Mus musculus: one gene and its partners. The protein of the gene in region 5 binds, or shares a complex with, the protein of the main gene of each other region. Links are inferred from orthologs where the notes say so. Each region holds a gene or a part of one and is shown on either strand. Other genes may lie near its edges. The genes, in order: Tada2b, Sgf29, Tada1, Tada3, Kat2a, Mbip and Taf4.

Region 1 (3,500 bases), on a different chromosome or scaffold from region 5:
GATGGTTTGAAAAACACCCTGCTAGTCCCTGTTAATGAAGCCCCCAAATCTCTGCTTCGAGATTTAACCTGGGGTATGACTGTATTTCTGACAGTGCCTGGGGAACCCTACTTTGAGAACCACTGGCTCACCTAGGCATTGAGTACCAACCACCCCATTGCTGTTCAGTCACACCAGCTACTGTCCACTATTCAACTGCAGGGGGCAGTGTGGAGCTGGTCCTTTGACACCATTGCTCAGCATCTTCTGGTGTCAAGAGAAATCTGGGCCTGCTGGCCCACAATGCACTTTACAACTAAAGCCATTTACAGTATATTTGAAATGTTTTATTTAATGCTGAAAAACTTACCCTAGGGGACAGAGGATGTAAAATGAAAAGGCACGTCGTCATGTCGTCCTTGGAAATGAGTTGTTTTCTTCAAAATAACTTCACTTTTACTTCCGAGCCCAAACACTCTATGAGGTAAACAGGCTCTTGTACCTCTCAGGGACAGGGGGCAGGGGCTGTGGTCACTCCAGGACTCTAAAGCAGGGTCTGGGCGTGAGAGCCCTGAGCAGCCGGAAGACAAATGCCTTCCTCAAGTTTAGAAGGAAGGTACCATATGAATCCGTGAAGGAGGCCCCAGAAACAAGCTTTTCAGTAGGGCTGGGAAGGAGCCATTTCTGAGTTTGTTGCAAGATCACATACAAAAGCAGTGCACAGGCTCCAAGGCACAGGCAGGATGCTCTGTACTTCCTAGGCCCCCTGCCATACGCTAATCAGCTCACTGAGCCAGGCTAGCTAGCATGTCTTATATTTAGTGAAAGGGGATCTACAATGGTAGTGGAAGTCCTCAGCACCTACTGCTCCATTTCAACATTGCACACTCTGCCTTGAACTCAAAAGGGTCTTCCAAGTCAGGTGTACTGTAAGTGTTCACAGCAGCGAAAGGCAGCCCTCATCTGACCCTGTGGCCCTTCCGTTAACTGCTTTCCCATTTAAAGGGTACAGGAATGTGCCAGGAGAGCCTGTCCAGGCAGCCCAGGCTGGGCCAGGCTAAGATGAAGCAAGCACTATTGAGGGCCTGAAATGGCTGTTGTTAGGTAAGTGGAAGCTCATGTGGTCACTGTGTGCAAATGAGGGGCTCATCTTAAGTGGCTCAGTGGGGAGCGGGCCTGGTGGTGGTCTCTGGCCTCCACAGCAGAGGGTTCTGTGCACAGCCTGCCTCCCGGTAAAGTGCGGTGTGCCGGGGCTGTGCTTGGGGTGTCAGCTGGGGAGGGGGGGCAGCAGTGGGCTCAGCAAAGGGGTGCCAACAACAGCCCTCCTGAGTAAAGCTTGTGTCACCAGAGAAAAGCTGATGGCAGGAACACACGGCTCCTGGCTCCCACAGCATAACAGCTTCTTAACCCAAACGGGGAAAGGCTCATGAAATAAAGGGGACACGTCCAAGGTTGGGGACAGTCTTCATAGGAACACAAAGGCAAGCTGTCTTCTGAATGGATTACCTTAGGACTAAGTTAAAAAGACACACGCTTATCTCCCCTATGAGTCAAATTTAAGATTGCTACTATTGCTTCTTCCAGAAGGTCATGAAAAAAAAAAATTTAAGCCTTGAAAAAAGAATTCAATTTGTTTAAAAGAGCAACAATGTTGGGGGAGACCCCAGATCATTTGGCTCACAAGCTGCTTTAGCATCATCTGGCCTCAGGAAGCATCCCTGGATATCCACCCACTTTCTGTGAGGAAATTTAAAATCCTTTTCTTTAGGACCTTGTCCAGATAACTGGGAAGGCGGCTTTTAGAGGGGATCCCTTGCCGCTTCTGGAGGTGATCTTTAATTATAATAGTCTTCACAGTCACATAGCGTGCAGGACTCAAGTTCAATGAACTACAGAGAACCTTCTCCCTATCTGACAGCAGCTCAAACCCAGGAAGGTTCTCAATGGCTGCAAACTCGCTGTCTTTGCCATCCTCCTTCCCCCTTTTGGAGCTGGCCAGGTTTTTGTTCTCCTTCCTCCTCTCCCGTTTGTGTCTGGCGGCCTCATATTCGGCCGACTCCTCCATCTTTGTAATGCCATTGCGCCGGTAGCGCTGCAGCTCTCGAATCTTGGCGCGAAGCATCTTTTCTTTGTGCATATTTTCAAATAAATCATCAAATTCTTTGCAGGACATGAACTGGTAGAGTGGCCGTAGTTTGAGCCGCAGCTCTTTCTCCTCCTTGGTGATCTTTCTCTTCAATGTCTTCTCCTTCTCCTTCTTGTCCTTGCCCAGGAAGGCTGGCACCAGGTTATAGTCTCTGGCAATGTTCTTCCGGCGCTGCCTCTCCTTCAGCTTCCGCACATACATGTCTACATGGGCACGCTTGAGCTCTATCTCCACATCATCATCGTCATAGTTCACAGACAGCCCACTGATGAGCGTCTCGGCATCCTGGTCATACTCTATCTCATAATCATCTCGCAGTGGCATGTAGCCCAGCTGCTGCTGCTCAGCCACAGAGATGTCCAATGGGGGTAAAGGTGTGGTAAGGCTAGGCGAGAGAGGGCCTCCACTGGGGCAGGTGTGATCTGTCACCCGGTTGGGGATGGTGTCAGGGATGCAGGCTTTGCCCAAGTTCCCATGGATATACATGCTAACGTAGTGCTCCATCACTTCCTGGGGAGTCCGTGAAGCACCAACATGTGCAGCCATGTCTTCCTATAATGACAAAAGCCAGACCATCAAGCCACTTCACTCAAGTTCATCCCACCATCTCACAAAGCTTTATTTGGGCTACTTCCTATCAATGCTGTTATCTCTCTCTCTCTCTCTCTCTCTCTTTCTCTCTCTCTCTCTCACACACACACACACACACACACACACACACACACACACACACACCAGTTATCCCCTGAAAGATGTTCAGGTATGTATCCCAACAAAGGAACCTACATAGATGTACCTGAGCGGAAAGATCCAGAGCTACAGACTTGTGCAAGGCTATATGGGAGCTGGTGACAGCTGGCTAAAAGTCATTCTTTGTTCTTTGACTTCTTAAAGAAAAAGCAGACATGTGCTATTGGACATTTTACCCACTGCAAATCCTGAAGAACATTTAAGACAATATGGTGTCAGACACATACTTCTCACTCAGACTAAAAAGCAGACTTGCCAACTTGCCCAGAGGGCAAAGCAAGTCCATGCAGAATGACTACAAAAGGGACTGTTTCTCTGTGCATCCTAGGACAAAAGGCCAGGACTCCTTAGCTTTGTTCCAGCCTTAGGTTCTAGAGCGTAGCTTGTTCCTCTCTTAGGTGGCTGGAGATGGCGGGCATACAGAAGCTAACTGCAGGGCTGCCAATGCTGAAAGCCTTCTCCACTTCTGCAAGAAAGGAAACTGAATGGCTCCCTCAATCTTTTCCTTTTGCCAAGAGGCCTCTTCCTTAAAGTCAACCACTAAAGCCACTTCAGAAAGTAATTGCTCAAAATGCACACTCATTTCCCGGTTGCTATTCTCAACACAAGTTCCAGAACCAGCAAT
Region 2 (3,486 bases), on a different chromosome or scaffold from region 5:
TCTTTATTCACCAATCAGAAATAATTTGAATCACATAGCTCACTTAGGTCTACATGGGGGCAGCACTTAGCATTACAATACACAGTAAAAGACCAAACCTCAATTGCTGTCAGGGGTGTCATGAGCAGTAAAATTTGTTTGCCTATATTATAATCCTGTGGGGCTGCTGTCACAGAATTGTAACACATACAGACCTTCTCTTTAGGGTCTGTATGTTTTTTCTTTTTATTAATATTTTGTATGTGTGGTATATATATGTTTATGTGGTGTGTACATGTATTTTTGTAGGTTCCCAGGCATGTGAGATGAGTGTGCATGTAGAGACCAGAGGCCAGCATTGGGTATCTTCCTTGATTATTATCCACCTTAGTTTTTGAGACAGGGTTTCTAATTGAATGTGGGACTCATTGATTTGGCTAGGCTGTTCGGCTAATGGGCTTCAAGGATCTGATTGTCTCTATGGTAACTCAATGCTGGAATTACAGGAACACACCCTGATGTCTGGCTTTCACATAGGTGTTGGGAATCTAACTCAGATCCTCAGGCTTGCACAACAGGTACTTAACTCATTGCGCCATCTCTGTAGTCTCTCCTTTTGTGTTGGACGCAAGGTCTCACTCTAGCCCAGGCAAACCTGGAACTCATTGCAGCTAAAATAGCATCACATTCACAACATAATTGCTGTAAACTCCTGAGTGTTGAGATTAGGTGTCATCCAGCACACCCACAGGATTTGAAGCTTTCATCATAGACTTGGTCTGAGGAGGCCACACTGCCACGACGCCTGTGCTGAGTGCCTCTCTCACCCAGCATTCTTTTCTCCCTTCCCTGCCTAGCATCCTCCGCAAAGCGCTGGATAAGATAGCTGAGATCAAGTCTCTGTTGGAAGAGAGGCGGATTGGTGAGTGGGAGAAAACACAGGGCATTTCTTTACCAGGCAAGGTGGGGGCTCAGGGGACAATAGTCACGGCTCCTAGCAGGGGGAACATAGGACCTAAATCGATAGGGTCACCCCACAGAGCTGTCTGGCACAGACTCAGAGGCAGAGAGTTTGCCTAGTTCTCTACCCACCCCTCCTACTGCCCTTAGTCACTTGGCCAGAGCTGCTCATCTCTTTCCTTCCTGTACTGTTCTCTATGGTATGCTTTGGTGACAGTCTGTCACCCTCTATATTCCCAGGCCAGCTACACATTGGAAACTTGCTTAGCCCCCAGCCTTCCAGGTTTCCTCAGGTTCTGTTGCCTTGGCTTCATGACCTCCGCCTTACCACAGAGGCAACTCTTTACCCTTACTGTGACCGTGGTAGCAATTTTTGTTTGTTTTCAGTTGAAGAGGGTGATGAGCTGAATGTGAGGAGACCTAGGATCCACACTAGATAATCTGTGCAGCTTTTGCTAAAATTACATGCACTGGTAGAAAGGAGATAAAGATGGGTATACATTTCAGGAATTGTCATTGGCCCAGCACCTCAGTCAGGGGACAGAATGTAACCTGCATCCTGGAAGGCCCGCTGTGCACTGTTTTAGTTCCTCTCCATGAAGGTGCCCACTTTCCTGACATCTCACCCATTTGGTAGTTAGACCTGTCAGTCAGTTCCTTAGACTCAGCCTTAGATCTGTTAAGAAGGGATGTGGATGAGTTTGGGGGAGTCCTGGTACAAAGTGCTCCAGCTCAGAGCAGTTGCTGGGTGTGACTGGGTCAGGTACCGTGCACAGGACCTCAGGGGTACACTTGCTTCCCACAGCGGCCAAGATCGCAGGTCTCTACAATGACTCAGAGCCCCCACGGAAGACCATGCGCAGAGGGGTGCTGATGACACTGCTGCAGCAGTCCGCCATGACCCTGCCCCTCTGGATCGGGAAACCTGGTGACAAGTGAGGGCAGGAACTAGCCAGAGAGGGATGGTGTTGGGGGGCCAGACTAACAGGCTTTCTCTACAGGCCCCCACCCCTCTGTGGAGCCATTCCAGCCTCAGGGGACTATGTGGCCAAACCTGGAGACAAGGTGGCTGCTAGGGTGAAGGCTGTGGAAGGGGATGAACAGTGGATCCTAGCTGAAGTAGTCAGTTACAGCCATGCTACCAACAAGTGAGTGTGTGCCTGACTGCATTCATACCACACCAGAGGGTGCTGGGCGGGGCTCCCTCAAGCTTCTTCAGCCCCTTTCCATCCCATCTCACACCCCACTCCCAGATATAAACTGTGCCTTCTGTTCCAGCACTGTTTCCCTTCTGTTTGCCCACAGGTATGAGGTAGACGACATTGATGAAGAAGGCAAAGAGTGAGTGTCCAGGTGGGGAGCAGGGGAGTCACCAAGTTTCTGAGAGAAGCGTCCCTGGTCACGGTCTATATTGTTCCCCCAGGAGACACACCCTGAGCCGTCGGCGCATCATCCCACTGCCCCAGTGGAAAGCTAACCCTGAGACAGACCCTGAGGCCTTGTTCCAGAAGGAGCAGCTGGTGCTGGCCCTATATCCCCAGACCACCTGCTTCTACCGTGCCCTGATCCACACCCCACCACAGAGGGTAAGGAGCCACCATGGAAGGTCTTTGATGATATCAGGCCCTTGAGGGGTAGTCATCTTCATTCTTTAGGATGCTGCCGTCTTCTCGTTGTCCTTTATCTCCTGCACATAGGCTTCCCTGGTAGTACCAGACCCTTTGACTCCAGAGTAGAGAGGAAAGCTGGAGAGGTGGGGAGACACGGCTAGGGCTCAGGGCAAGGAGAGGCTGCCCTGGTCTAGAAGCCCCTTGACCCTTCCTGTGTGTATTCTCAGCCTCAGGATGACTACTCAGTCCTGTTTGAAGACACCTCTTATGCAGATGGCTACTCCCCTCCCCTCAATGTGGCCCAGAGGTACGTGGTGGCTTGTAAGGAGCCCAAGAAAAAGTGAATCGGGCTGGTAGGCTTGAATCTGCCACTGCCAACCTCATGGGAGAAGGCTACAAAGGAGTTCCTATGATCAAATAAATACTCTTCCCTCTCACCATGTCTCCTGGGCCTCACTACGTCAGACCCTCTTGCCATCCTCCATCAGGCACGTGGGATTGATGGTCGCAAGAGGGAGAAGGTCCAGTCAGCTCCCAGTGGCATTTATTTGTTCAGGTAAAATACAGTTTATCTTACTATTTTTGCATGTTTGTACTTTAGGTTCTTTTTCAGTGTTAGGACTGATGGCTTTCCTGACATGTTGATAAGACCCTCTGCCTCAGCTACATCCCCAGTCCTATTCTCTTAGCTCAGATTTCCTTTAGGCATACAACAAATAAATTGAACACATCACATTTTTCTCTTGAGATCATGATGGGCTGTGTCAGCTTGCCTTGGTTCCCAGTATAGCCATATCCACTCATATTTGACAGCGGAACGTGAAGTCACAACCTGTCATTATCTTGGCATAGTGGGCATCAAAGTGCTCACTCTGGGCTACAGTGAAGGTATTTTTCCAGTCCCCAATGGTACCTGGAGAGAGAGAGAAAGAGAGAC
Region 3 (3,997 bases), on a different chromosome or scaffold from region 5:
CACGAGGTGACTCCTAAGCTAGTCTGTCTAGTCAGCAGCAAAGGAGGGGACAGATACTTCAGACTCTTGCAGAGGTCCCAGGAGAGCCTCAGAAGAAACCCACCCGTCCAGCATACTGGCCTAGGATTTACAACCCCCAGAGCTGTGAAAAGAGTAACTTCTGTGGTTTAAGCAACTCGCCTGTGGTGCCTAGCAAATGAACACACCAAAGAGGCAGAGGAGCAACAAGAAACATCCTTTCTCCCTAAAGGAGGACTCAGGGCAGACTTGGTGCAGACACACCTGTGCCTTTCCTTCTCTTGGCCGCCTTCTTAAAAGAACATGGCGGACTTACTCCTAAGCGTGAACGTTTTATGAGGAGGAGAGTGGTGACTAACACCTATTCCTGTGCCACGCTTCCGTTCAGATGAGCTCAAATCGGCAGAAATGCTGCCTTTCTAATCACTCGCCAGAAAGGAAGTATTCCTGGATATGAGTAACTGAAAGCCTGTGGTTTTAACATCTGGACCGCTGGACATATGGTAAACAATTCACACCATGCACTCTGTATACCCTTGTTTTACCTACCTCCCAGGATCCCATTTAAATGGTCATGATGAACAACGAAAAGCAAACTGCTTAAGAGGAAATGGCCAGAGACAAGCAAGCTTAACCAAGATGGCAGGTTTTAAAAATGAAGACCGGAAACAGAAATGCATTACAATCCCATCATTAACTGTGTCCCTGACACAAAGACTTGTGAATTTCACATGACAGATACATAAAATTTGGAATCAGCACCCATATTTGTGCAACATCACAGTCAGCTCTGGCCATTACAAATGGATCAAAGACTGCAAAGGTTTCTGTCATGCCTGAGTTTGCTAAGTGAGTCTGGAAGGAAGGCACAGTTACTCTGGCCAGAGTTAGAGTCATGGCCTTCACAAGTCATAGCCTGCAGATTTAGCTCCGTGTGAAACCATTCACTTCCAAAACCCTGTGAGCGTGGAAAAAGAGACAAGTCTCCCAATAGGCTTTTTAACCGTAAGCCTCACCAAACAGTATTATAAAAGTACACAACCATTCTAACGAAGCCAAAGGCTGCCATTTTTACCTATTTAAATTTAATTTAATTTCCTCCTTGCATCTCAGGTGGTCCTTCACCCATGGCGCTTGGTGTGACAGTCTTGAGGCAGGACTATCAAACTGAAAACATCACAAACGTAAAAAACGCAAAAGAGTCCCTCACCCCACTCAGCTTGCAGCCTCTTACCAGCTAACATCGAAAATTCCAACACAACTAACAATCTCTGTCTAAGGCCTCCCTCCTTCTCGCTTCCAGGCTGTAAAACCGCAGTTGTCTGGTCATCTGGACAGAGAAACCCCTTGTGCAACTTTAATGTCGCCTGGTTTTACTCTACCAGACTTTATAAGCTTGTCCACCTCATCAGCAAAAAGAGAAAAAAGAAAAAGAAACTTGTACAAAATTCTTGGGTGTAACAAGACAGCTGCCAAAACGCACAACTTGTGACTCTCCATTGAGAAGTCCACATCTGGGTATGTCTTATTTCCCTGGGCATCTCTTTTTAATTCCGGTGCTTAAAAATCTACAAATAATAATACTTATTATTTATTTATTTATTTATTTATTTAAAGCCTTTTAAAGAGGGGTTCCGACGAGGAGCTTGCACCTAAGCTTTTCTGACGGCCTTTCTATTAACACCACCTCTGCTTCACGGGCTGCTCTTGTCAATCATTTCAACTTCAGTGCCAGGAAATACGGGTTTGCCAGAATTGAAGTTCCCCCAAAAGATCGAGGCTCCTCCTCCGGCTGCCGCAGGCTACTGCTTATAGAGCTGTCACTCTGCCCCAGTCCCTGCTGACAGCCCGGCGGTGTGGGGAACGGGAGGACTTTCCAAGTAACCCCTGAAAAGCATCACACGGCGGGAACCAGAAGCCTCAGTCCCATCCTTGGGCAGTGACTTTGGGGGAATAAGTAATCTCTGTCTCTCGAGTACGAACTGTGCCGATCTCAGGTCTGAGGATTGGCTGGCCCGTGTGGAACACTGGGAAAGGCGTCCTACGGCCGGCTAGGCAGCCGCCCCCTTGGATGCTGTGGTTGTAAGGTGGGTGACCGACCGACTTCACTTGGGGTCTCTGTGCCTTCCGAACCCGCTTTCACAGCTCTTCTAGCTGGCCCCTGAGCAACGCGGGCCTCCGCCTCCGGGAAGCCCTCCGGGCCCCCCCACCCCGCCCCGGCGCGCCCCCCGCTCTACCGACTCCGGGGCGCCTAGGGCGCTGCTCCCGCCCCCACGCGGGTATCACCGGTGTCGGGACGCCCAGGAGAAAGTCCTCCAGCGCCTCGAGTCCCGGCGGAGCCCGCACGGGAGCCGTGGCGGCCGCGAGACGCCTACGGCCTCCGGGAGGTGAAGAGAGTCCAGGGACTACGGCAGCCCCGAGCTTGGGGCACACCCACGGACAGGCCCGGAGGCTGGTCCCCGCGGCTCTTACTGTTTCACGTTGTCCCCCAGCGCCTCGCTCAAGTTCTTCTTGGCTGCCTCCAGCTCGCTCACAAAGGTCGCCATTGCAGCGCGCGTCTTTCAGCCCGACCGTAGACCGCGCGGCCCACGGCCACCAGCAACCGAAAGATCAACGCGGCGGAAGGCCTGCGCGCCGGACGCTGGAGGCTCGACTCGACTCGATTCCACTCGGCTCGGCTCGGCTCGGTTCGGCTCGGCTCGGCTCGGTTCGGCTCGGCTCGGCTCGGCTCGGCTCCGCTCGGCTCGGCTCGGCTCCGCTCGGCTCGGCTCGGCTCGGCTCTGCTCGGCGGCCCCGCCCCCATCCGCTAGGGAGACGTTGCGTGGGTTTGGTTCTTGGCCCCGCCGTCTCGCAGTTGGGAAAGCACCCAGCCAAACTCCCTTCGCCAACTCCCGCCTCTTGGCTCACGTGACCCGCTTCCCCTGGTGGGCGCGTGCCCAACCTACGCCCGCCTGCCCGCCCGCGGCGGCCCCCGGGGCGCGAACTTGACCGCCCCGCCCGCCCTCCGGCCAGGCCCCGCCCTGACTGCAGGTCAGCTCTTCCCAGAAGGAAGAGCTCAGGTCCCCGAGTGCATGCAATATCTAATTTATCCTCTTGTCCTCATTTTTTTGCCAAGTGCTCACCACCTATTGTGACATTTAGTTGGTCGATCTCGTTTTCTGCCTCCTGCAACTAAAACGAGAGCTGCCTGAAGGCAGGATTTATGTTACTCAAGTTCTGAACATTCACTATTGACAGATCAAATAAAAATAATTCCCAAGCAGGACTACCAAAGGTCCTAGGGGAGGTAACAGGAGGAGTCTCAGCAGCTAGTTAGCCTGACCCACAGAGGAAAAGACGCAAAGAACCTCGTTTCAAGTCAAGGTCAAGTGGAAGGACCCACAAGCTAGCTTGTCCTCTCTCAAATTCCAAATTCACACTCGAATATGCACATATATACTACACTAGGAAGCCATAGCTGTGTTCAGCTTAAAACTTTTTAAAGCCTACTTTTAAAGTCTCTCTCTCTCTCTCTCTCTCTCTCTCTCTCTCTCTCTCTCTCTCTCTCTCTCTCGTTTTGACAGAGTGGCCTCTTAACTCACATAGATCCAACTGCCTCTAGTGCTGGCTGGGACTAAAGGCATGGGTCACCATGCCCAGCTTGTTTGTTCTTGAAATAGGGTCTCTCTTTGTAGCCCTGGCTATCTGACACCAGGCTATTATTTTGCCTTAATGTTCATGTTTGTTTGTTTGTTTTTTGAGACAGGGTTTCTCTGTATAGCCCTGGCTGTCCTGGAACTCACTTTGTAGAACAGGCTGGCCTTGAACTCAGAAATCCACCTGTCTCTGCCTCCCAAGTGCTGGGATTAAAGGCATGTGCCACCACTGCCCGGCTAATGTTCATACTTTTAATGACAGCATAATTTTTTAAAGATTTTGTTTTTAGGTAGATGTCGTTGTGAGTGAATTTACAGGTGGTTGTGAGCAGCGGGCCCTGTTA
Region 4 (3,500 bases), on a different chromosome or scaffold from region 5:
GGGAGATATCCCAACACTGTGCCTTCCCCGCAGCAGCTGAGCTACACTACATTTCCCAGGCACCCCTGCAGTCAGAGGCACTTGTGGGACAGATTCTCCAAGGAGAGTGATGTCCACAGGGAAGAGTCACAGTCACATCCAGAAGGCTTCCTTCCCATACTCCTTACTCAGCTTCTGCGGGCCTGGCGCAGTCACAATACCCAGAGTGACCTTGGTCAGGATGAAAAGCCACATAAGACGGAGTCTCTGCGGGGCTAAGCCAGACTTCCCCTGGCCTCAGTCTACCCCAGGCTGTTCTCTGAGAGAAGAACTATCATAGTGTTAGAGACGAAAGAGGAAACCGAGGCTAGAGGATGTAAATGGTGTTTCTAAGCTCAGGCCTGGGCATTAAGGTGGAAACCCCAAGCGAGGCTTGAATCCGACCTTCACTTATTAGCTGTGGTCTTAAGAAAAAGTTAACTTTTCTGAACCTCAAGTTCCTCACAAGCACAGGCGTCCAGTCAGAGGAGGCATGGAATCAATCCCCTTACCCACTGCTCAGCAAAGGTGTCTGTGGAAGCCTTGTGTGGAGACTTACATCTGCTATTCCCGGCACAGGGGCATTGAGGCACGAGGACTAAAAGTTCTAGTCCATAGTGTGACTCTATCTCAAAAAGCAAAATAACAATAAAGTGCCAGCACACGAGCGCTCGTGTGTGTGTGTGTGTGTGTGTGTGTGTGTGTGTGTGTGTGTGTGTGTATGTGTGTGTGTGTGTGTGTGTATGCACGTGTGCGCATGCTCGCTCGAGCCTGTGTGTAAATGTTTTTTTGTTTTCTGAGACAGTCACATGTAACCAGATTGAACTTGAGCTAAGAGCCTCTGTCTCCCAAGTGCCACTGGGGTTACAAGCAGATGCCACCATGCCTAGCTTGTGGTTCCCAGTCAGATGGCCTGCTCACCTCCACTAGGGCCTGCAGCAGGCGCTGTGTCAGGGCTCCAAAGGGACACCCGTCTTCTGGCTGTTCATGCTGGGCCTCAGACTTCTTCAGCAGGGCATCCACATCTGGACAGGGAGAACAACAGCTGGAGGCCTGAAGCTCCGGGGCCTCAGATCCAGGCCTGGGCTGTGAGGAGGCTGAGGCTTACCTTTTGTGTCCAGTTCTGTCAGTGGTCCTATGAGGCCTTTCTTCTTGTCAGCCACAGCTGCTGCCCGAGCGCCGTCCTTCTGCTCCTCCAGCAGATCCTCCTGGGCCCAGCGCTGGGAGTAGTGTTTCCCTAGGGGGGGAATCTGCAGCAAAGAGCTCACTCAGCTCTGAGAGGTAAACACTGCCCATCTGAGACTGGAATGTGAGAGGATCTCCTGGCATGGGACTCGGTCAGGAAGCATCCGTTTATTCTTTCTTTCCTCACGGATTTGTTGCCCAAGGCCAAGGCTGGTGCCACGAAAGGCCAACAAGATCCAATCTCTCCACTCACACTCCAGTAAGGGAAACACGTATAGAAAGACTCAACACAGCTAGGCGTGGCGTACACACCTAGCCTATGATCATTCTGGAGGCTGACATAGGCTGATCAGGAGTCTGAGCCTGGGCTGAGACCCTATCTTTTCTCAAATAAACAAACAAACAAACAAGAACCAAAAATCAAAATACACCTAGAAGCTGATATGCATTAGCAAGATATAAAATAGAAGCCAGGCAGGATAGCACACCTTTAGTCCCAGTACTCGGGAGGCAGACAAACCAACCAACCAAAAACCCACAACCACCACTACCGACAACAAAAAGATACAAGGTATAAAATACTGTGTCTGTGGATCCTCTTGGTCAGCGGTAATTCCTCTAAAGAGAACTTGGGCCCAAAGCAGGGATAAGAAGAAATTATTTTCTTGTGTTCTTTAAACTTACTGCTGTCAGAATGGACTGCTTTTTCTCCACTTCTTTTATATAGGACAAGCTGACTCTGTGAGATTATAGGTGGTAGCAGTACTTTTGGTCAGGACTGAATCTGGGGCCTTGTCCATGCTAAGAAGTTGCTCTACCACTGAGCAATATGACTAACTACATCTCTGGTTGCAGATAAATGATTTTCAAATTCAGGTTAGTGCATTTAAAGCAGCCCGGGGACCATGAAAGCACCAAGTGAGACCATGTCCTTTGCTCTCCTTGGAGAAAGGACCTCAAACTTGTAAACCCATGCTGGCCTCAAACTTGCCTCAGCCTCCCGAGTGCAATGGGGGTGAGGCACTGGGCCCAGCTGCCCCTTTCTGCTGGAGAGTCTGCAGAGGCATCTTTGGGGCCTTGAGGAGTGAGGGAGTCTGCCAGGCTGAGAAGAGCTTGTGTGTAGACCCTGGTGTGAGGCCAGGGGGAGGGAACATGTCTGGTGTAGCTGATAAATGCAGCAGGAAAGAAAGATGTGGCCAAGGACAACTGGAGAGAACTGGGGTGTCACCCAGCACTGAAACACTTGGACTCCATCCTGTGGCAAACAGAAGTCAGGGGAGCCCTAGAAGTAGATCTGTGTCATACGTGCACCTGCGATGGCAGGTGTCCTGTGGTGGAGTCCCCGCCTCACAAGTTTGTCTACTTTCTTTTATGGAGCATATTTTATTTTTAAGATCAATAAAGCTAACTTGCTGGGGACAGATCTCCGCCAGTAGAGAGCTTGCTGGGAATGCAGAGAGCCCTGGCTTCTGTACCAGGACTGCATCAACTGGGCATGGTCATTACCTACCTGTAATCCCAGCACTAGGGAGTCAGAAGAAAAAGATCTTAAGTTCAGGGTAATTTGTTAGCTAACAAAGTTCAAGGCTAGCCTGGGATAAATGAAATCTAGTCTCAAAAACCAAAACCAAAACAAACAAACCAACAAAAACCAAAAAACAACAACAAACAAAATCCCCCAAAACCAAAAAAACCAACTTTTAACCCAGGTATGTTTGTGGTCCCAGACACCTGGGGGGGACCTGAAGGGCTGAGAGAGGACAATGGTTGAGTCCAGGGGTTCAAGGTCAGCCTGGGTACCATAGCAAATTCCAGTGTCTTAGAAAAGAAAACCAGAATTTAACTTTTTTTTTTTTTTCTCGAGACAGGGTTTCTCTGTGTAGCCCTGGCTGTCCTGGAACTCACTCTGTAGACCAGGCTGGCCTTGAACTCAAGAAATTTGCCTGCCTCTGCCTCCTGAGTGCTGGGATTAAAGGCGTGCGCCACCACGCCCAGCGGAACTTAACTTTTATAGTTAAAGAAAGTAAGTATCGCCCAAGTGTAAAAGCAAGGAGAGTGTTCAGAGGCTCTTTGGAGAAAGGCTAGAGGACAGAGAAAGCTGAGCCTCACTGTCTGCAGGGGTCATGGAGCAGGCAGGAGGCTGGGAAGAAAGTAGGTGATGGATGCAGGCTTTGCTGCCTAGGACCCTCAGGCGCCTTTGAGCCCTGTCGTACTGACTGTGCGGCTCAGGTTTCTACCTTATAATGTTCAGCTTCATCTTCTGGGGGCTTCAGGAGCTCCTCTAGTGTCCGTACCTC
Region 5 (4,033 bases):
GCTCAGGATAGGACATAGCCAGGATAGAGACTGGAGACCCAATTTTGTCATGATGTGTGGCCAAGGAGAACGGGTCTGAGCGGATGCCATCCTATGCTGTGTGGCTAGGCAGGGCACCCACCCAGTCACCTGAATTGCCTTAGTCCCCTCTCTATCAGACTGGTCTAGAATGAGCCAATCTTGTCACCTCTTGTTCCCACATGCTTGTTCCCAGATTCAAATGGGAAGAAGATGTGGAACAACAGAGGCACAGAGATAGGTAATGGCTTCACTTCAAAAGTAAACTCTAAGCCAGGCGTGGTGGCGCATGCCTTTAATCCCAGCACTTGGGAGGCAGAGGCAGGCGGATTTCTGAGTTCAAGGCCAGCCTGGTCTACAAAGTGAGTTCCCGGACAGCCAAGGCTACACAGAGAAACCCTGTCTGGAAAAAACAAATAAACAAACAAAAAAAGTAAACTCTAGACTTCTCAGAGCACTGTGGTAGGAGGGGCTCTGGGGTGATATCCACACACCCAGAGGAAACTAATTAGTAACTATCTATCAGGGGGCTGAAAGAGGGTAGCGTTAGCTTGGGCCATGTACCTGCCATCCCCAGACTAGCACATACTAGCAAGTAGCTTCTGGGCCATGGGCAAATCTGCCAGGTAGACACCCAGATCCCAGAAGGCCCATGGAGGGAGAGGAGGGACCAATCCAGGAAGCCTTCCTGGAAAAAAGGGGACAACAGCAAGGACATGAATTTGGGGTAAAATCCCAGGAGGCCAGACTGAGCCTTACTTGGGGAAGTGAGTGAGGATGAGGGTCCTCTTCTCAGGCACCAGTTTGTCCTTTTCCACCCGAAATTTTTCCAGTAGCTGCCGGCGGGTGACAGTGAAAATGGACCGTAGAAGGCTTCGGCCAAACACGTGGGTGGTCTCGTAGCGGGGGAGGCTGTCGCAGCTCTGGGGCACGTGGCAGTAACAGAGCCATCTGGGGGAGGTGGAGCGGCAGGTGAGGGTGGAGACCGCCAGACTGGCTGTTCAAGCCTCCCCTGTAAGGCCCTGTCTGGGCTTACCTGGTATAATTGACTTTGTAGGTAGCGACATCCTCAGACTGGGACCGCTGCCGGAATTGAGCAGGGGTCTCCAGCTTCCAGTAGTTAAGGCAGAGCAGGAACATCTTTGAGAGCTCAAACATTGTCTGGCGCTCTCGGGGGGCCAGGTGGCTAAATTTGTACTGCACAAAGTTCAGTACACCCTGAGGAGTAAGGAGGGGACAAAATCAGGAGGAGGTGTGGACAGCCAACAGAGGCATGTCAAATAGGAGGGATTCTGTGAAGAGAACCTCTGACCCTTCCAACTTCCACACCCACTCTGAGGTCAGCAAACACCATGTCCCTTCCTTGAACCTCTCCCCTGTTCTCAGCTTGAGGAAATAAACCAGACTCTCCACCCTCTTAAGTCGCCTTTAATCTTGCTACATGCCCGCCCTACCTGTTCAATGTTAGGCTTCTCAAATGGGGGGCTGCCTAGAGACCCCTCCACCACTGGCCGTGTCATCTGCAGAATGCACTTCCGCAAGAGCTGTAAGGAAGAGGGATGGGCAGAAACAGGAGTAGCAGAGCTCAGAGAGCAGGATCCCCAACACACACCAAAGCTTCACCATCTTTACTCCATGAGAACTCACCTTGAAGAGGTAGAAATAGACTTGTTTGGTGTCTGTGTCCTCTTCCTTGTGAACAGACATGAACAGATTTTCTACATCTACTACCATTCCCAAGAGCCGGTTAATCTCGTCCTCTGACACATTCTCCAGGTGGGACACATGGTCCGCTGCAAGATGGTTACATTAGGGCTGGGAAGAACAGAAGAGCTCCACGGGGCTTGATTCCTGTACCTCCTCTAACTAGCCAGTGACACACCCTTGATTCTCCAATTCTTGACAGACAGGGAGACCCAGTGTTCTCAGTTCTCCCATCAGCCCTTGGTAGCTACCTGCTACCAAGGCAGATCTCCTTTTTTCCTTCCATGGGACATTCACATTTATTCCCTACCCAATATTTCCTTAGAAGGTCTCCAAGAAGCTCTGTGGTACTTATGTCACCCTGTTCAAACAGGACCTGGCTCCTGCCCTCCGCCCCAGCTCCAAAGGTGGTGCCTGCCTTACCCAAAGGGTGCTCACAGCTACGGCACAACTCGCTCAGGTTGGCAGCTGGCTGCTGGAGGTCCATGCGGGGTGCGGTGGGGGGCTTGGGGTTTTTCCAGCCATTACACTTGCAGGTTTCATTGGCCTGGAGGGGGAAGGTTCAGTTCCCTGATGCTGTCTGCATCCCAAGCGCAAGAGCGGCTCTATGGCTAGAGCTTCGCCCCCCATTCCTACCCCAGACCTTGGATGCCCCAAGCCCCGCCCCTTTTGCTCTAGGCCCCGCCCCCACCTTGCAAGCTGAGAAGACCCCTAGTTTCTCAAGCTTCTTGGCACGCGGCAGACCCCGGACTTGCGCCTTCCTCTGGCTAGCGCGCTGCTGCTGGCTCAGGCCAGGTCGAGCCGGATCCCCCCCACTTCCTACCCCGGCGCCCCCACTCCCTGTGCTCCCAGCTGGGGCTGCAGCTGGGGCAGGGGCTGGTGCCGGAGTCGGAGCCGGAGTGGAGGCTGAAGCCGGACTGGGCGCAGGAGTCGAAGTTGGGGCAGGGGCTGGGGAGTGAAGGGGCCGGGGCTGCGCTGCCGGGACCGGGTTTGGGGCCTGGGAAGGTTCCGCCATGGCCTCCCCCGCAGCGGAGCGGCGCCGCGCTCCCAGCCCTAGGGCCGCATGGGCAACCGGCGCACAGTGCGCAGGCGTCACGGCCCCGGCGCACGATGGGAGTCGTAGTCTTCCTTTGCCGCTTCCCATCCTTTGGCCTTCCATACTTTTTTTTTTCTTGGTTCCAGACAACCAAATGTCGCTTGGTTGAGCATCCTAGATTTGACCATTACTTCATTCTAATCTTTTTTAAGCCATCCGAGATAGTGACAATTACTATCCTCTTGGGAACAAGAGGCACCCCAGAACACTGGCCGTCTGGAGGATTTGTGGATGCTGCCCTTTTAAAGTCCATAGGTGGAAGAACAGGCCTGGGCCTGAGGTTGGCTCCCACATTGCAAAAGCCTGCCCTATTGTGGCTGCCGGCTAAGGCTTGCAGCTACAATAGAGATAAAATGTAACATTAATTCTACTATTTGTACTGTGGTGTTCACACTTATGAATTAACTTTGACAATCAGTTTTTGGGTTTTGTTTTGTTTTGTTTTATTTTGTTTTTTGAGACAGGGTTTCTCTGTGAAGCCCTGGCTGTCCTGGAACTCATTCTGTAGACCAGGCTGACCTCGAACTCAGAAATCCGCCTGGCTCTGCTTCCCAAGTGCTGGGATTAAAGGCATGCGCCATCACTGCCCAGTGACAATCAGCTTTTTCTATACTTGGGTTGCTGTTAAACAGAAACGGTTTTATTTTCAAAAGAACAAAGAGACATAGTTGTGGGCCATGCTGCTGTTGAATGTGTGTGTTCATGCACGGGCATTCGTGTGTGTGTGTGTGTGTGTGTGTTGGGAGTGGGCAGGAAAGGGGGGGGGGAGTGTGTTTGTGTGTGCTGAGAACTAAAGAACCAGAGAGACCAACACTGAAGATGCGGAGGGTAGGGGGTGGTCCCCTCTTCTGGCTCGCCTAGGCAGCTTTGAAGATGGAGAGGATTCCTGACCTCATACCCTTCCATCCTACCTCCATCTTTTTCCCTGCCCACTCCTTAATGGGGGGGTGGGGGTGGAGGAAAGCCAGAGAAATAGACAGTTTCTTCCCATTGTAGAGGTAGACTGTGAAAGGTCAGGGATAGTTCTTCCTGGAAGATCAGAAAGGCCCCCTCTTTTGGCTCAGTCCAGAGAACAATTTTCCTTGCCCCAGGCCCGATTCTTAAAAGGGCAGGGTAGGGCAGGGCCGGCAGGGCAGGGCAGGGCAGAGCAAGCCAGACCTTTTCAACCCCGTTGCTCAATCCCATCAGCTCCCAGGATGGAGCTGTAACCCCGCA
Region 6 (4,223 bases), on a different chromosome or scaffold from region 5:
AGAACACTACCAAGAATATAAAATTAATATCAAAATCAGTCAAAACTTTAGAGGGAGAAGCTTCCACCTGTACATTTGACTGAGTATAAGGGAATCACTATAAACTTTGCTAGACACAATTCAAGTGGAAACAAGTCAATTGTACTTATTTTGCAATAATAATTTATTAAAAATTATGTCATATTTTCTACAAAGTAAAGATGCATGTTTCATGAGCTCAAATACAAATTTAAAGAGCTGTAAGAATAAAAAACCAAGACATGTGCTGATGGATTACTTTCATATTCAATAATAAATGCAGTTATCTTAGTAATCTTATCGTCAAATCTTAACTTAGTGTAAGTTTACCTATGTCAGTATAGCCTATGTAAAATTTCATATTTCTTTATGTTTGCCAAATGTGGACTTAGATGCCCCTGGTCTTAGGCAGTAGGTTTCTGTATCCACTATTTATACAGTAGAGTGCTTAACATAGGAACCTGAGATCTCTTTGGTTCCATGGACAATTCATGTCTTGTTTTTTTATTTTTACAGTTCATTATTCTTGCCACAGTCAACTATAGAGCTCTTGGCAGATTTATGTTTGGGGAATAAGCAGGCAAACCTTAAACCAAAGCAAAGCATCACCCTTTCTAGAGAAAATAATTATAGGAAAGAAATCTTAATATTTGGATCATATTCTCATGTCAGTATGGAAGCTTTCAAAGGCAACTGGAGACACTTGATCTTTTATGGAAACCAAACAGTAAGGTGACAAATTAACTTAAAAATGGCCCCCAAATAATCCAATTATTCATTCAGCAAATTCCCCAGTAACATATGGATTCTATGAATTTTTATCCCATAATCCTTGGGACAGTAATCAGGCGTTCAAATTTTTCTATTAACACACTATTAACACTGACTACTCAGTCATGTATGTTCAGTAGAAACACATTAGTTGCATTTGAAGGAAAAATGCTTTTTAACAATTCAGTTTTACACTTTCTATCGAAAAGCGCTAATAATTCAATGATATTTAAGGTGAACTTAGACATATTACAATTTACATCTTAAAAGTCCCTTTAATTTGTTGCGAAAGGACACATTCCGCAGGGGCAACTTTATAAGTGTGGATGGCTTTCATCCTTAATCACGCATCTCAAAATACATATTACTAAAATAGCATTTAATTAATTTTTTAAAAAATCTTATATTTGACACTTGTTAAAGGACCCTTTACTGTTACAAAAACTTCATTTTCTCTACACATTTTTGGCAAGTGGCATAAGTTAAGTTTAATCATTTTTCCATTTGAACCTTTGAGATAAATTTATATAATTAAAAAACTCAGTATGCAAAATTTAGATATTTTATAATTCAAATAATTTATCAATGTAAATTATTTTGCAATTTCTAAGCATAATATTTGAGAAGATTTTTCTCATCTTGACATTAGAAATATAAATGAATAAATCTTTAAGTTCCAAATCCACGCCAAAAAGTTCTCTAACTTTTAAACTATTTAAAGATCTGAGATGTTACTACTGAAATATTAATAAGGAAAGTGCTTAAGACTTTGTAAGAATTTTTTTCCTAATTGCTTATCAAGCAACTGAGTTTAATTTTTTTTAACTTTTCGAAGTCCAGTAACACCAAACAGAATGTACAACTCAAGTAGTTTGCCAGTCAGAATAAACTTACTAAGGTTTTCCAACTAAGGATTTTAAAAATAATCCTCACAAATCAGGTAAATGTCCTATTCTCACTGGTGGTACCACTGCCCTTGACATAAATGTGTGCTGTGTCCATTTCAAGCACTATAACCAGTCCCCAAACAAATTAGGAAACATGTTTGACACAAAACTCTTCTAAAAGCAGGCAAACATACTTTTGTTCCTTATTTAAACATTGCCTCATTTACATCACGACTATCTAGTAAAGTGTAACCTAGTTTTTAAAATCCAGGTTTACTGTGACATTTTCTGTAAAGAGCAATTAGCTAAGCTACACGACAGTCGTAATGTAGTTAGAAGTGGCCACACATAACTCATCCAACAATTCACACTAAAATTTAGGTATACTACAAATGAAATTGTGGAAATCCTTATATATCCCTCCCCGTTTAAAAGAGTAAGAGATGCAATAAATGGCAAGAGAAACAAAAAACAGAAAAACAAACAAATAAACAAAAAACCCCAGAGTAAATCACCCCCCAAGGAGTGGGGATGGCGCTAGGAAAAGTTTCAGGCCATATTAACCAGTGAGTTTCTGCGATAAATACACTGGAGGCAAAAGGACCGTGATCGCCAGGAACCTCCTTCACCCTCATCACCTTTTAGGCATCTTTTGGGCAAGCTTTCGTCGCCAGGACCCCAGTTTTCTCCAGACCTTGGCCATCAAGCGTGCCGCTGGCATCTCCCGGTCCCAGGAGCTGGGCCCAGGGTCTTCCGGGTGTCACAGCCCGGCCACGGCACACCAGCGGCACACACCGTGCCAGCGGGGCTCCGCGACCCCCGCCTCCGAGAGAACTAAGGGGACAAGGACCGGGATGCTCTCCCTCCCCACCCACCCCTTCCCCGCCGCACCCCCACTTACCTGTCTTGTCAGGGTGTGCAAGGAGCGAAAGACTTCGCAGAGGACCTCGCGGGTGAGGAGGGGGCTGGAGCATTGCTCCAGGCTCCTCTCGCTGCCGCTTGAGGAACTAAGCTCCGCAGCAGCAGCCATGACACCTTCAAAGCAGCCCCCCAACCACCGCGAACAGCGCTCACCCCACCCCTCCCTCGCGGACTTCGTCGCACTGAGATGACGTAAAACTAGAGCGTCTCACTTAGAGCTTGAGGATAGGCCCCACCCTCTGTGTGTGACAGACACACAGGAAGACCAATCAAGAGCAAGGATAGCTGTGCTCCGAGGGAACTTGTGTATGTGAAGCTGGACCTTCTGTCTGGTGGTGTTTTCTGTGGTCCACCTTGGTTTAGAAACCTACTTGGCTCTTAGATGCTCCCTGTGAATGTTGGCAGAGCCTTACTCTTAAGTGTTAGAATTTGAGTCCCGCTATTAAAATTTAAAATGTTAACAGTCGAGTTGTCTTGGAAAAAGATTGCGGGTTAGTGATGGAGCAGTGCTTTACAATTTTCTAATTACTAGAAACTTGACCCAGGATGATCGTTACTGGATAGAACATTTTCATCTCTATAAGACTGTTTGATATGAGGAATTTAAAAAGAACACAAGGGCTACATTATGCTTCTTTTTCCTACCATAGAACGACATTGATGACTACACCTGCAAAATAGTTTATGTCAAAGTTCTGACATGCAACGGGTTCTCAGTGCAATCACTGGACACTTGACCTTAAAATTGTTTCAATATAAATCCAATAGAAATATAAACCAGCCGGGCAGTGGTGGCGCACGCCTTTAATCCTAGCACTTGGGAGGCAGAGGCAGGCGGATTTCGAGGCCAGCCTTGTCTACAGAGTGAGTTCCAGGACAGCCAGGGCTACACAGAGAAACCCTGCCTCAAAACAAAACAACAAGAAAGAAAAGGAAGAAAGAAAGAAAGAAAGAAAGAAAGAAAGAAAGAAAGAAAGAAAGAAAGAAAGAAAGAAGGAAAGAAAGAAAGAAAAGACCAATTTATTCCATGTAACCACACTCTTTAAAATTAGGATATAAAACTAAATCGACTCTTGTTGGGTATTATTAGATAGCTTTATTTTAGCGAAAAAAGTTATAATTTTATAATGTAGAGTTCTATTAATTTTTTTTTCCTTTGAGACAGGGTTTCTCTGTATAACCCTGGCTGTCCTGGAACTCACTCTGTAGACCAAGCTGGCCTCAAACTCAGAAATCTGCCTGCCTCTGCCTCCCGGATGCTGGGATTAAAGGCATGCTCCACCATGCCTGGCTCTATTAAATTTTTAAAACAAGCTTAAAAGATAAAGGACAAAAGAATTAAAACTCTGGCGGCAGTGGCTCAGGCCTTTAATCCCAAAGCACTAGGGAGGTAGAGGCAGGTAAATCCCTTATGAGGCCAGCCTGGTCTACAAAGTGAGTTCCAGGACAGCAAGGGCTACACAAAGAAACCAAAGCTCGAAAAGCAAGCAGGCAAGCAAGCAAGCAAACAAACGATTTAAAACTCTTCTTCATGATAGTTGAGTGCATTTAACATACAGGAAGTGGAAGTATGAAGTTAATGGGTAGTCTATCCTTAGAGAGCAGACTGAATAAAGGAAGAAATAA
Region 7 (3,001 bases), on a different chromosome or scaffold from region 5:
TGGGTATCCTTGAATGGTGTGCTGACAGAAAGAGAAGCCTTAGCACAGACAGACACATATCCAGGAGTTCAGAAGGAAGACAGAGAGGGTGCTGTTCTGTATGCCCACGGCCACCAAAGAAAGCCTGGAAGTCAACCCTTACTGCCTGGACCTCAGGCCTCTGGCCATCCTGCCAAGACATCTGTCCACAGTTTGTGTCCTTGATCTCTACAGCTGTTGATGAGGACATCAGGGATGGCAATGAGGGGGAGTCTTCAGGTAAGCCTACCTACCACCTGCAGCCCAAGCTTACAGGGGTATCTGTCTATCATACACCTCTATGCCTGCCCTCAGACAGTCTACAGGATAAGGCCTGGAATGGGAAAAGCACAGCTCTGGTGTCCTCTGGGTGAACAGAACAGAAGACTGGCCCCAACTCCAGCCCAGAAGGGGGCCTGTGCTTGGTTAACTCCTAGATTCATAAGGACCAGAGAGAGACTCAGGAATGGAAAAGCAGGCGTGACAAATACAGATAAATTTGTTTTTAATAAAGGAGTTAATTTTCTTTCAATCCTATATAAAACAATAGCAATTAAAAACTTCATTTCTGAAAGTAAAATATTTACATATTAACAAGTAACTGTGCAAAATTTACATGAAAAAATGGAAAGACAGGGATTTCCTAAAAGATAAAATGAAAGGTGTAACAGTTCTTGGGTGTCGTAAAAAATACTGATCAGCGTTCAGTTCACACGTGCGAATTGAAGTCTAACATGAGAATCCACACGGAGAAAGCCAAGTATTTACAGTCATAAAAGTACTATCAATAGACAATTTAATACAATAACCTCTGAAAATATAAAGAACCAATTAGTATATTTGTAATAAAAAAATAGGTACAAAGAAGGGGCTTTGCTCTGGACGCCTGTAAGGTTGGCCACAGCTTGCATACAGTCTCTTAGCAAAATAATTATAGTTTACATAGCCATTTTATGTTATGTGCCAAAAATTATGTACAATTACTGACAAAATACACCAACCATTTCCAACACTTGATCCACACTGAGAAACAGTCTGTTGTTGATTCTTCTCAACTCTGATTTTATTTCATCTAAGTCTTCACTCTGAGCTAAAAACACAGTGCAAGTAAAATATATTTACGCTGAAAAGGTTCTCACTTCCTAGGCTCTCACTTCCTTCCACTTCACAGCTTCCAAACTGCAGCAAATCAATTGTGTTTGTACAGGTGCTGCCCCCGGCCTGCACCCCGGCCTCTACTGCAGACCGGGACCCTGCTTGGAGCTTGTGTTCCTGGGGAGCTTCGTGTAGACGGGAGGGAAGGGACAGGACAGGGCAGGGGCGAGGTGATAAATAGTCTAAAAAGTCAGCTTGCTTCGCCAACTGACTGCTACAACAGAAAGGAAGAGATGAGGTCATCGGCTGTAGACATACACCTAGCGGGAGTCAGGGTGAGCTGAACCAAAACGCACACAGGATGAGCAACTGCTAATTATTTGCTAAGCGCTTCCATCAGTCTTTAAATATGGCTTGTTTGGCAAGAAGGCCACTCAGCCGAGGATGAGCTCGGGTCAGCTGTCCTGTGAGAGCACCCACAGGCCTTTGTGTTCTCTCTGCTGCAGACACGGTTTCTGCCGCACTGAAGAGCTGATTTATAAACAGGAGTATAAAACTGCTCCATTGTAAAGAGGTGGCTGTTTTTAAACAATATCCCATTTGCTTGTTACAAAAAGGCGTAATCTGCAAATATATAAAAACGTCCGCAAGCATCCCATCAGAAACGCCGGCTCATCCTGTTACTTAAGGAATGCTTTGTAGAGCAACAGTGAATGGCTTGTCTCACGCTCGTTTTCTAAACAAAATATGAGGTCCCTGAGGTTGACCCGCGTGATTCTTTGCCGTGTGAACTGTCTGGGGGTTCCCACGCCGGAGCCGCCTGGGACTGCTGCGCCCGGGCCTGAGCCCTGGTGGGGAGAAAGAAGAGGACATGTGCATTAGTGACCATAGAACAGTTAGGAGGGAGGAGGAGATTCAAGTATCCCAAAGACCCTGGTTTTGAGGAAACACCCTGCCAAGCTCCTTCCACAGTTCTACTACTTTAAGTCCCTATGCAGGGCAGAGGCCCCTACTCCCCACTCTGCAACAGGCTCAGGATGCCCACCACCTCCAATGTCCCCATAAGCTTGACCCTGAGTGGGAGAGAAGGTTCTGAACGCGCAGCCCCCACTTTCCATATCACACAACACAACACTACCCAAGAGGCTCAGGTGAGGGGATCAAAGACCACACTTGATGCCACACCTGGGACCGTGGCATCCCTCCTTGGCTGACAGAGGCACTAGGCCTGAACTCATGGGCAGGGCAGGCTGCTGGTCAGCTGGAGAGGCCGACTGCTCAGCGGTCAGGACGGTGATCCACGGCCAAGGGAAGGGGGCTCCCTGCTCCCCTGGCTGGGCCTTGCTGCAGACCCATTCCCTAGGTCACCACAGCTATCCAGCGAACTGAGCTCACTTCCTTCCTGCTCAGAAATAGGATGTACTAGGGCTGGCTTCTGGCCACTAAGCAGCTGATCTCCTCACTGCCTCCATCTGACCCCCGCTGGACTCAAACCACACGATCCCCATGGACAGCTCTCCTCTTCTCACAGTAGAGAACCAAGGTGTGTCCTGCTGGTTAAACTGTCCATTAGTATTCAAGTGTACAAACTGCAGTGATGTCCTGACTGTGCCTCCATAGTCGAAGCTTAGGAAACTGGAGTATCACCTTCTACTCATGAGGCACAGGGGCACAGGGGCCAGTAGATGGCAGTCATAGGAAGCTGGCAGGCAGGCCAGGTACAAGTGTGCCTACATGACCTGGCCAGTTTCTTCATGCATATGTCCAACTGAAGATAGGGTACTTTTCCTCAGATGCTGGGAGCCACCACTGTCCATCTGTGGCCCTGGTCTCCACCATCACCTTGGTAGCCATGTCCTTTTGGGTAGACAATCTCCTTGGATGTTAT

What was found.
Region 1: Kat2a (region 5) and Tada2b share a complex: the UniProt entries of both Homo sapiens proteins name them as parts of the TFTC-HAT complex. The link is inferred for Mus musculus from reciprocal best matches to the Homo sapiens genes KAT2A and TADA2B.
Region 2: Kat2a (region 5) and Sgf29 share a complex: the UniProt entries of both Homo sapiens proteins name them as parts of the ADA2A-containing complex. The link is inferred for Mus musculus from reciprocal best matches to the Homo sapiens genes KAT2A and SGF29.
Region 3: Kat2a (region 5) and Tada1 share a complex: the UniProt entries of both Homo sapiens proteins name them as parts of the STAGA transcription coactivator-HAT complex. The link is inferred for Mus musculus from reciprocal best matches to the Homo sapiens genes KAT2A and TADA1.
Region 4: Kat2a (region 5) and Tada3 share a complex: the UniProt entries of both Homo sapiens proteins name them as parts of the STAGA transcription coactivator-HAT complex. The link is inferred for Mus musculus from reciprocal best matches to the Homo sapiens genes KAT2A and TADA3.
Region 6: Kat2a (region 5) and Mbip share a complex: the UniProt entries of both Homo sapiens proteins name them as parts of the ADA2A-containing complex. The link is inferred for Mus musculus from reciprocal best matches to the Homo sapiens genes KAT2A and MBIP.
Region 7: Kat2a (region 5) and Taf4 share a complex: the UniProt entries of both Homo sapiens proteins name them as parts of the TFTC-HAT complex. The link is inferred for Mus musculus from reciprocal best matches to the Homo sapiens genes KAT2A and TAF4.

Annotation. Positions count from the first base shown.
Region 1 is NC_000071.6:36,474,286-36,477,785, forward strand, and holds part of Tada2b (transcriptional adapter 2-beta), read right to left. Parts: intron 2,678-3,500; coding exon 1,685-2,677; 3' UTR 1-1,684. UniProt on the Homo sapiens protein: Coactivates PAX5-dependent transcription together with either SMARCA4 or GCN5L2.
Region 2 is NC_000073.6:126,669,794-126,673,279, forward strand, and holds the end of Sgf29 (SAGA-associated factor 29), read left to right. Parts: intron 1-836; coding exon 837-901; intron 902-1,744; coding exon 1,745-1,874; intron 1,875-1,940; coding exon 1,941-2,087; intron 2,088-2,244; coding exon 2,245-2,280; intron 2,281-2,362; coding exon 2,363-2,525; intron 2,526-2,776; coding exon 2,777-2,893; 3' UTR 2,894-2,986; downstream 2,987-3,486. Other genes in the region: Sult1a1 (sulfotransferase 1A1), read right to left, coding at 3,350-3,462. UniProt on the Homo sapiens protein: Chromatin reader component of some histone acetyltransferase (HAT) SAGA-type complexes like the TFTC-HAT, ATAC or STAGA complexes.
Region 3 is NC_000067.6:166,377,970-166,381,966, reverse strand, and holds the start of Tada1 (transcriptional adapter 1), read right to left. Parts: upstream 2,801-3,997; 5' UTR 2,565-2,800; coding exon 2,491-2,564; intron 1-2,490. UniProt on the Homo sapiens protein: Probably involved in transcriptional regulation.
Region 4 is NC_000072.6:113,371,339-113,374,838, forward strand, and holds part of Tada3 (transcriptional adapter 3), read right to left. Parts: coding exon 3,441-3,500; intron 1,269-3,440; coding exon 1,127-1,268; intron 1,044-1,126; coding exon 940-1,043; intron 1-939. UniProt on the Homo sapiens protein: Functions as a component of the PCAF complex. The PCAF complex is capable of efficiently acetylating histones in a nucleosomal context. The PCAF complex could be considered as the human version of the yeast SAGA complex.
Region 5 is NC_000077.6:100,709,668-100,713,700, forward strand, and holds the start of Kat2a (histone acetyltransferase KAT2A), read right to left. Parts: upstream 2,801-4,033; 5' UTR 2,738-2,800; coding exon 2,414-2,737; intron 2,270-2,413; coding exon 2,146-2,269; intron 1,812-2,145; coding exon 1,666-1,811; intron 1,563-1,665; coding exon 1,473-1,562; intron 1,237-1,472; coding exon 1,055-1,236; intron 970-1,054; coding exon 778-969; exon of another isoform or gene 583-777; intron 1-582. UniProt on the Homo sapiens protein: Protein lysine acyltransferase that can act as a acetyltransferase, glutaryltransferase, succinyltransferase or malonyltransferase, depending on the context.
Region 6 is NC_000078.6:56,343,095-56,347,317, forward strand, and holds the start of Mbip (MAP3K12-binding inhibitory protein 1), read right to left. Parts: upstream 2,801-4,223; 5' UTR 2,707-2,800; coding exon 2,578-2,706; intron 1-2,577. UniProt on the Homo sapiens protein: Inhibits the MAP3K12 activity to induce the activation of the JNK/SAPK pathway. Component of the ATAC complex, a complex with histone acetyltransferase activity on histones H3 and H4.
Region 7 is NC_000068.7:179,911,646-179,914,646, forward strand, and holds the end of Taf4 (transcription initiation factor TFIID subunit 4), read right to left. Parts: intron 1,962-3,001; coding exon 1,794-1,961; 3' UTR 501-1,793; downstream 1-500. UniProt on the Homo sapiens protein: The TFIID basal transcription factor complex plays a major role in the initiation of RNA polymerase II (Pol II)-dependent transcription.